Callithrix jacchus: one gene and its partner. The main gene of each other region encodes a partner of the protein of the gene in region 2 in a complex. Links are inferred from orthologs where the notes say so. Each region holds a gene or a part of one and is shown on either strand. Other genes may lie near its edges.

Region 1 (4,267 bases), on a different chromosome or scaffold from region 2:
TGAGACAGAGTCTCGCTCTGTCGCCCAGGCTGGAGTGCAGTGGCGCGATCTCGCCTCACTGCAACCTCCACCTCCAGGATTCAAGAAATTCTCCTGCCTCAGCCTCCCGAGTAGCTGGAATTACAGGTGCTCGCCATCATGCCCAGCTAATTTTTATATTTTTAGTAGAGACCGGTTTTCACCATGTTGATCAGGCTGGTCTAGAACTCCTGACCTCAGGTGATCTGCCCGCCTTGGCCTCCTAAAGTGCTGGGATTACGGCCATGAGCTACTGCGCCAAATTTTCTAAAATAAAGTTTAAGAACAAATGCCCCATTCTTTTTATAGAATTATAATTGTAGCGTTTCCCTTTTCATAGCATATAGTATCTTGCGGATTTGTTTGCATGTCTATTATTGATCTCCCTGACTAGAATCCACCTACTAGGTAATCAGTAAATACAAACAATATTTGAAGAAATGAGAAATGCCTCTTGGGCATATATTTAGACTGGCTAAAGGCACTGAGACGGGGAGTGAGGAAGAGGAAGCGGTTGTTCTCCGGGGAAATGAGCCGGGAGGACCCTTGAGAATGGGACTTGACAGCATTGCGAGAAGAAAGAGCTTTCCGATCAGCGGGGACCTGCGCTGAAACCCAAAGGTCATGAGGTTGCCGATGATAAGAGCTTCTTGGACTGTAGCTGGGTAATGTCGGAGGCCCAGCACCTCCAAGAGATAAAGAAATCTGATTTGAGTTTCCGTTCCAGTCAGCTCCAAGCCTCCCAGGGATGCAGGGACTGTCCATTCCCTCCATCCACTCCCACCCTTTCCGGTCCCCTTGCTCTGCCATTTTTTGCACTCTGCAAATCCCTCACCAAACTGAGCAAAGTTAGACTGAGAGAAATCAGTCTTCCTCAAGGAAAGTTCAGGCCTGGGGTCCTCAGACATCCAGGGGCTCCGTGACAATCTGTGACTGCTGAGCAGTCTAGGGACACCGCCTCTCCAAGTTCGGGACCCTTGTTTCTGAGGCCAGCTTGGTGGGAAGCTAAAGGCATACGGAGGAGGGGAAGGGGAGCGTGTCTGAGTCTTCGGCATGGCGGGGACCCGGACCTCAGCCCGGCATGGCGGTGGCGCGGCCTCAGGAGATCCACAATTGTCGGTGTAGAAGGGGCTGGGGGCCGCTCCCGGCAACTGCGGAAGCCGAGGTGCCCCCAGGCTAGCCCAGGTCGGTTTCCGTTCGTCGGTCCTGGGCGGGTAGATCGGGCGCTGCGGGGCCGTGCCACCTCGCACCCTCTCAGGAACAAAGGGCTTGGCTACGCGCGGATACCCAAACGTTGGGTTAGAATGGCATTCGGGGAAGCCCTGACCTGCGCAAGCCGGAAGAGGCCAGCAGCAGCTTGAGAATATACTGCTCTCGCGATGTTTTTCGAGAACGCGGCGCCGCGTTCGCGTACGGAGTTACCAAGGTAACTGGGCGGTGCCTGAGCGGGCGGGAAGGAGGCGTTCGTCTAGATTTTGTCCGCTTGCAGGGAGACTTCAGGAGTCGCTCTCTTTGAAATTCCGGCCTCTGAGACCGCCGCCCCTGTTTCCAAGGGCCATGGGCCGGGTCTCAGGGCTCGTACCTTCTCGCTTCCTGACGCTCCTGGCGCATCTGGTGGTCGTCATCACCTTATTCTGGTCCCGGGTAAGACCCACGGCTGACATCCGTCCGCCCCTATTCCCACCTCGGAGTGGTCCCAGCCCCATCTTGCCCCTCTCCCAGTGTCTTACCCACTTAGGTCTTCTCGTTCCCCGCCGCCCCCAGGCCTGCCTCGCCGCCCGTCCCTTTTTCACTTCTCTTCCTCTCTGCTCTGCTCCCAGGACAGCAACATCCAGGCCTGCCTGCCTCTCAGGTTCACCCCCGAGGAGTATGAAAAGCAGGACATTCAGTGAGCTCTCTCGGAATGGGCTGGTCAGAACGGAGAGGTGGTGGGAGTGGAGGGTTCTTAGAAGTCCAAGGGCCTGAGGCTGTCCACTTCCTTTCTGCAGGCTGGTGGCCGCGCTCTCTGTCACTCTGGGCCTCTTTGCAGTGGAGCTGGCCGGTTTCCTTCTAGGAGTCTCCATGTTCAACAGCACCCAGAGCCTCATCTGTATCCTTTCCTCCTGCTCACCTTTCCCACACGACCATTTCCATCAGGACTCCCTTCAGCCACCTGACACCATAGTGTCTGCTGTAACCAATCTCTCCAGTTCGGATATCTTCAAACATGTGCTAAATCCTGCTGTTTACTAGGCACTTAAAATCCCAAAATGAGAGTAAAACAGTTTTCGGCCAGGCACGTTGACTCATGTCTGTATTCCCAGCAGTGTGGGAGGCCCAGGCAGGAGGATTGCTTGAGGCATCATAGTGAGACCCTATGTCTACAAAAATAATAGTAATAATGAGAACTTCACCTTTTTTGTTTATCATGAGGAGGAGGCAGACACATATCTGTAATTCAGTGATAAGCAGGGTGCTATAGGAGTGTGTAAAGAGGGGTGGGCGCGGTGGCTCACGCCTTTATTTCAAGCAACTTTGGGAGGCCAGGACAGGTGGATCATTTGAAGTCATGAGTTTGAGACCAGCCTGACCAACATGGTGAAACACCATTCTCTACTAAAAATACAAAAATTAGCCGGGCGTGGTGACGGCACACCTGTAACCCCAGCTACTCAGGAGGCTGAGGCAGGAAAATTGCTTGAACCTGGGAGGCAGAAGTTGCAGTGAGCCGAGGTTGAGCCACTGCACTCTAGCCTGGGCAACAGAGTGAGACTCCGTCAAAAAACAAACAAGCGGGACACGGTGGCTCAAGCCTGTAATCCCAGCACTTTGGGAGGCCGAGGCAGGTGGATCACGAGGTCAAGAGATTGAGACCATCCTGGCCAACATGGTGAAACCCCGTCTCTACTAAAAATTCAAAAATTAGCTGGGCGTGGTGGCGTGTGCCTGTAGTCCCAGCTACTCAGGAGGCTGAGGCAGGAGAATTGCTTGAACCCGGGAGGCGGAGGTTGCAGTGAGCCGAGATTGTGCCACTGCACTCCAGCCTGGTGCCTGGTGACAAAGTGAGACTCTGTCTCAAACAAACAAACAAACAAACAAACAAACAAAAGGTAGAAAGCACAATGGGAACTCAGAAATGGCAAAGGAAATGAAGCACGTGGGTCAGAGAACTGTGAACCAGGAGTGCTAGAACCCTGGAGGCTGATTCCAGCAGAGCATATCAATTCGCTGTCAGCACTCCTGTGTGGCATGGTAGGAGAGCCTACTCTTACCTCTCATCTGAAGGGTCCAAGCTGGCCTCTAGATGTGGGGTAGGCTAGCCTGAGGTCCCATCTATGCAGTTACTTCTGGTCTCTCCTCATATGACCATCCTACAATTCAGAAGTCAGGGCTGCTGACTCTAGCCCTTGCAATATGGTGAGGGAGCAAGCGATGAACCTGAGTGCAGATGCCAACCCCACCACTGATGTTTTCTGATCCATCACTATCTGTCGATCCAAAGACTTTCCTTAACTGTGGTGCCTTCCCAAGCCATTGGGGCTCACTGTAGTGCATCCGTGGCCCTGTCCTTCTTCATATTTGAGCGTTGGGAGTGCACTACGTATTGGTACATTTTTTTCTTCTGCAGGTGTGGTAACACCCAATATTTGGGGATGAGGGAGGAAGGTTTACCCTAAATCTGAAAGTTTTCCCCCACCCGGTCCCTTCTTCCATGCATGAGATCCTGTAGTCTTTTTCATCCCCCATCCCCATGCCACCTGCCCTATACTTTCAGGGGTGGGGTCTCTAGTTTGGAGATTTGCATATTTATATTGAAAGGATTTCTGAATCTACCACCTGCTTCGGTAGTGCCCTTCCAGCTGTCACTGAAATGGCTTTATTCATCGCCATCTTTGGGCTGAAAAAGAAACCTTTCTGATCACCTTCCTGATGGTCGAAGGCTACATGGGAGGCCGCTTCGTATTCCTGGAAGAAGAAAGGCATAGGCTTCAGTCTTCCCCTTGGAAACTGCTTCTGCTAGAGGATATGTGTTGGATGTATGGGATTATCAGCATTGTATTTAGTGTTTTGTAATAAAATATGTTTTGTAGTAAGATCAAGAGTTATATAGTTTTCAGGGGACAATTGGGATGGCTTAACTATTGAAGAAAAAAACAACTACGCTGTTTTCTAGTCCTGCAGACCGTAAGATACTTGATATCGCTTCTATTTTGGTTATTACGGTAGACGTCTGGGGGAAGGAAGTGGGCGGGGATATGTAAATAAAAGT
Region 2 (3,615 bases):
TTAAGATTTCTGTTTTTGAAAATAATACTAATGTTTCAATGACCTGCTTATAGTCAGTGTTCAATAAACATATAACAAATGAAAAAAATGAAAGTGAATGTTAGTAATGTCCATTCCAATATAATTTGAAGATTTTATTGTAAGTTCCCACAGTTGTAGAAAAGTCAATGGAAATCCTAAATAAAAATTTGTCATGTGGCTTGAGAAAAGATAACATTGTGTCTTATTTTACTTTAGAATGACCATTACTTTCAACTAAAATCATTATGATCAATAAAGTAATATTGTTTGTTGATATGGCATTTATATTTGTATATATAAATTGTAAATCTTAGGTAATCAACTGGCATATGAAAATAGAAGAACTTCGTCTTCAAGAGCTTAAACTAAATCGAGAATTAGTCAAAGATAAAGAAGAAATAAAATATTTAAATAATATAATTTCTGAATATGAACATACAATCAGCAATCTTGAAGAAGAAATTGTGCAACAGAACAAGGTTTTATATTTGTTTTGTATTTTCTAAGATTTTAGATAAGAATATTGCACAAATGACTATGTTATTCTAATTGAATTCAGCTTTTATTACTAATTGATTACATAATAATTTTTTCTTATTTTTTCAACTATTCTGAAAATTTATATTTAGTTTTTATAACATTAGTCTTAAAAAGGGCAATATATAGACAACCTCATTGATAAGTTAATTTTTATTTTGAGATTGGTTATTTGACTTTTCACAGTTCCAGGTTTCTACTGGCTCTCACTGACAGAGTAAGAAGGCAGCTTGTTATAGAATAAAGTGTGCGCTACAGAGACAGATGAAATTCATCAGACATATGACTGTCTCAGAGATTGTTCCCTCTGCTTAAATTGTTCTTACCATAAATACCCGTGGTGTTTACACTTTCAGTGCCTGCAGGTCTTAGCTCATATGTCTTATCTTATCAGTGCATCCATCACCAGCCACCTAAGATACAACCGTAAATTCTACTGTCAAGATTCCCTAAATAGAGATTATCTTAATTTTTCTCCATAGCACTTGTAACCTTCAGGTATATTACATACTTACTTGTTTATTATTGACTGTCTCTCCTTCACCAGAATGTAAGTTCCATGGTGACATGGACTTGGTTTTGTTTACCGCTGTGTTTGTACTGCCTAGAATGATGCTTTGCACACAATATATATAATTAAATATATTTTGGATGGATGGATGGATGGATGGATAGAGAGATTTAAATTACATCTGCCTTTCTGCCTTTCTTACTTCACATGTGCCTTTCTCTGTGATCTTACACAAGTTACGTCACCTCTCTGAGTTTATATTATTTTTCATAAAAGGAAAATAATTACAGTTTCATCAATGTGTTGTGAGGATTAGTTAAGAAAAAATATATGAAATGCTTGTTATGTGCCTGATGTCTTTGTGTATGTGTCTGACACAAATTGTCTTTTGTTAGTTTCATGAAGAAAGACAAATGGCTTGGGATCAAAGAGAAGTTGACCTGGAACGTCAACTAGACATTTTTGATCGTCAGCAAAATGAAATACTAAATGCAGCACAAAAGGTATGAATGATTAATCTTGTTTGCTATTCTGTAGCATGGCCTAGAGTGTTAATTCACAGAAATATTTCCTGTATCAGATATAATTTTAACTGATGTTATATTTGTATATATTAATTGATCTTATATTTGTATATTTAAAATATGAGGGGTTTAATCTATGTTTTATCATAAAGCCGTAAAAGTTAATATTGTTATTTTCAATGCTGTAACTGCTTTTTTAAGAAAACATACTATTTGTTAATAGTTTGAAGAAGCTACAGGATCAATCCCTGACCCTAGTTTGCCCCTTCCAAATCAACTTGAGATTGCTTTAAGAAAAATTAAGGAGAACATTCGGATAATCCTAGAAACACAGGCAACTTGCAAATCACTTGAAGAGGTAATTAGAAAAAATTGCATTTTGATTCGTGTATTCTTTGGAATGTTTGTGGGGGGTGTTAAATAATGTTTCTTTATGAGGATGATGCATAGAATGATGAATCTGTTGCTAATTTCACTCTTTTTCTGTTCTCCTTTAATGCTTCTAACAACTGATAATGAATAGCAGATATGGTTAATTTGAATTCACTGTTTGTTTTTTTTTTTTTTTGAGACGGAGTTTTGCTCTTGTTACCCAGGCTGGAGTGCAATGGCGTGATTTCAGCTCACTGCAACCTCCGTCTCCTGTGTTCAGGCAATTCTCCAGCCTCAGTCTCCTTAGTAGCTGGGGTTACAGGCACACGCCACCATGCACAGCTAATTTTTTGTATTTTTAGTAGAGACGGGGTTTCACCATGTTGTCCAAGATGGTCTCGATCTCTTGACCTCATGATCCACCCGCCTCGGCCTCCCACAGTGCTGGGATTACAGGCGTGAGCCACTGCTCCCGGCCCTGAATTCACTATTTAGTTATAACTTGTTACCTTTAGGTTCACTGATCAGCACTAGCGTGAAAGGAAAAAAAAGCATTTAATTGTAGCTTTATGAACCATATATTATTTTCCTTTATATGATCTTTCCTTATTTTTTTGGTTTTATTTTGAAGTACATGTTACATAATCTATTAATCCATTTTCAGTTCATTCCTTTTTATGCATGGCTAAAGGGTTGAAGGTAAATTAGAAATTATTTTCTGTTTTAATCTAGATCTTGACTTTGGTTAGTAGGTGATCAAATCTGTCATCTTTATTAAATTATTTTGAAAATAATTAAAAATATGATTTTCATGTTAGTTTCCATATAAATATATTAACCCCAAATACACTTAAAAATATATGTAAAGGAGTTTTTCAAGTAAAATTGTACATTTTTAATCAGTTCAGGAAACTTAGATTTTCCTCAGTAATTGTAAGATTTGTCATTTATGTGAATTGCCACTGAATCACTTAATTTAAAATACCTTAATCCTCTTGAAGAGTAAAAATTTTTCTAGTTTTTTTTTTTCTGTTTTGTTTTAATAAAGTGCAGGTTTTATAATACTAATTTCTTGACTTGGGCCACTAAAATTCCAGTTTTGTACTTCACTGACTTTAGATTAGTCTTCTAATGCTCTGCTAGTCAATGGACCAAAATAAAGGAAATAATTTATTACATATTCTTCCTAAATCTAGCACAACCACACATTTGTAGTTCTAAACTGTAATATCTCAATAAAGTACATTAATTAAATTTTATTTTTGTTGTAACAGTGAAGTTTCTAACATATGTAATACTCTTATAAACTATGTAAATAAATGTTGTCAATTAGAAATAGTTTAACCTTATTAAGTATCAAATGGCTATTGTACATATGATGAGAAAAATAAAGTGAATTTTTTTTTGCTAATAACCTAAAATTCAGATGAAGTATTTAAAGGAAAAAATATGCTTTACTGATTTATTGTGATTTAATCATTGCAGAAGCTAAAAGAGAAAGAATCTGCTTTAAGGTTAGCAGAACAAAATATACTGTCAAGAGACAAAGTAATCAATGAACTGAGGCTTCGATTGCCTGCCACTGCAGAAAGAGAAAAGCTCATAGCTGAGCTAGGCAGAAAAGAGATGGAACCAAAATCTCATCACACA

Evidence for each region. The genes of interacting proteins can lie anywhere in the genome.
Region 1: CEP290 (region 2) and TMEM107 share a complex: the UniProt entries of both Homo sapiens proteins name them as parts of the tectonic-like complex. The link is inferred for Callithrix jacchus from reciprocal best matches to the Homo sapiens genes CEP290 and TMEM107.

What each region holds. Positions count from the first base shown.
Region 1 is NC_133506.1:74,652,721-74,656,987, reverse strand, and holds TMEM107 (transmembrane protein 107), read left to right. Parts: upstream 1-1,450; 5' UTR 1,451-1,575; coding exon 1,576-1,662; intron 1,663-1,838; coding exon 1,839-1,906; intron 1,907-2,006; coding exon 2,007-2,107; intron 2,108-3,528; coding exon 3,529-3,625; intron 3,626-3,846; coding exon 3,847-3,916; 3' UTR 3,917-4,091; downstream 4,092-4,267. UniProt on the Homo sapiens protein: Plays a role in cilia formation and embryonic patterning. Requires for normal Sonic hedgehog (Shh) signaling in the neural tube and acts in combination with GLI2 and GLI3 to pattern ventral and intermediate neuronal cell types.
Region 2 is NC_133510.1:93,098,981-93,102,595, forward strand, and holds part of CEP290 (centrosomal protein of 290 kDa), read left to right. Parts: intron 1-335; coding exon 336-500; intron 501-1,464; coding exon 1,465-1,572; intron 1,573-1,816; coding exon 1,817-1,951; intron 1,952-3,450; coding exon 3,451-3,615. UniProt on the Homo sapiens protein: Involved in early and late steps in cilia formation. Its association with CCP110 is required for inhibition of primary cilia formation by CCP110.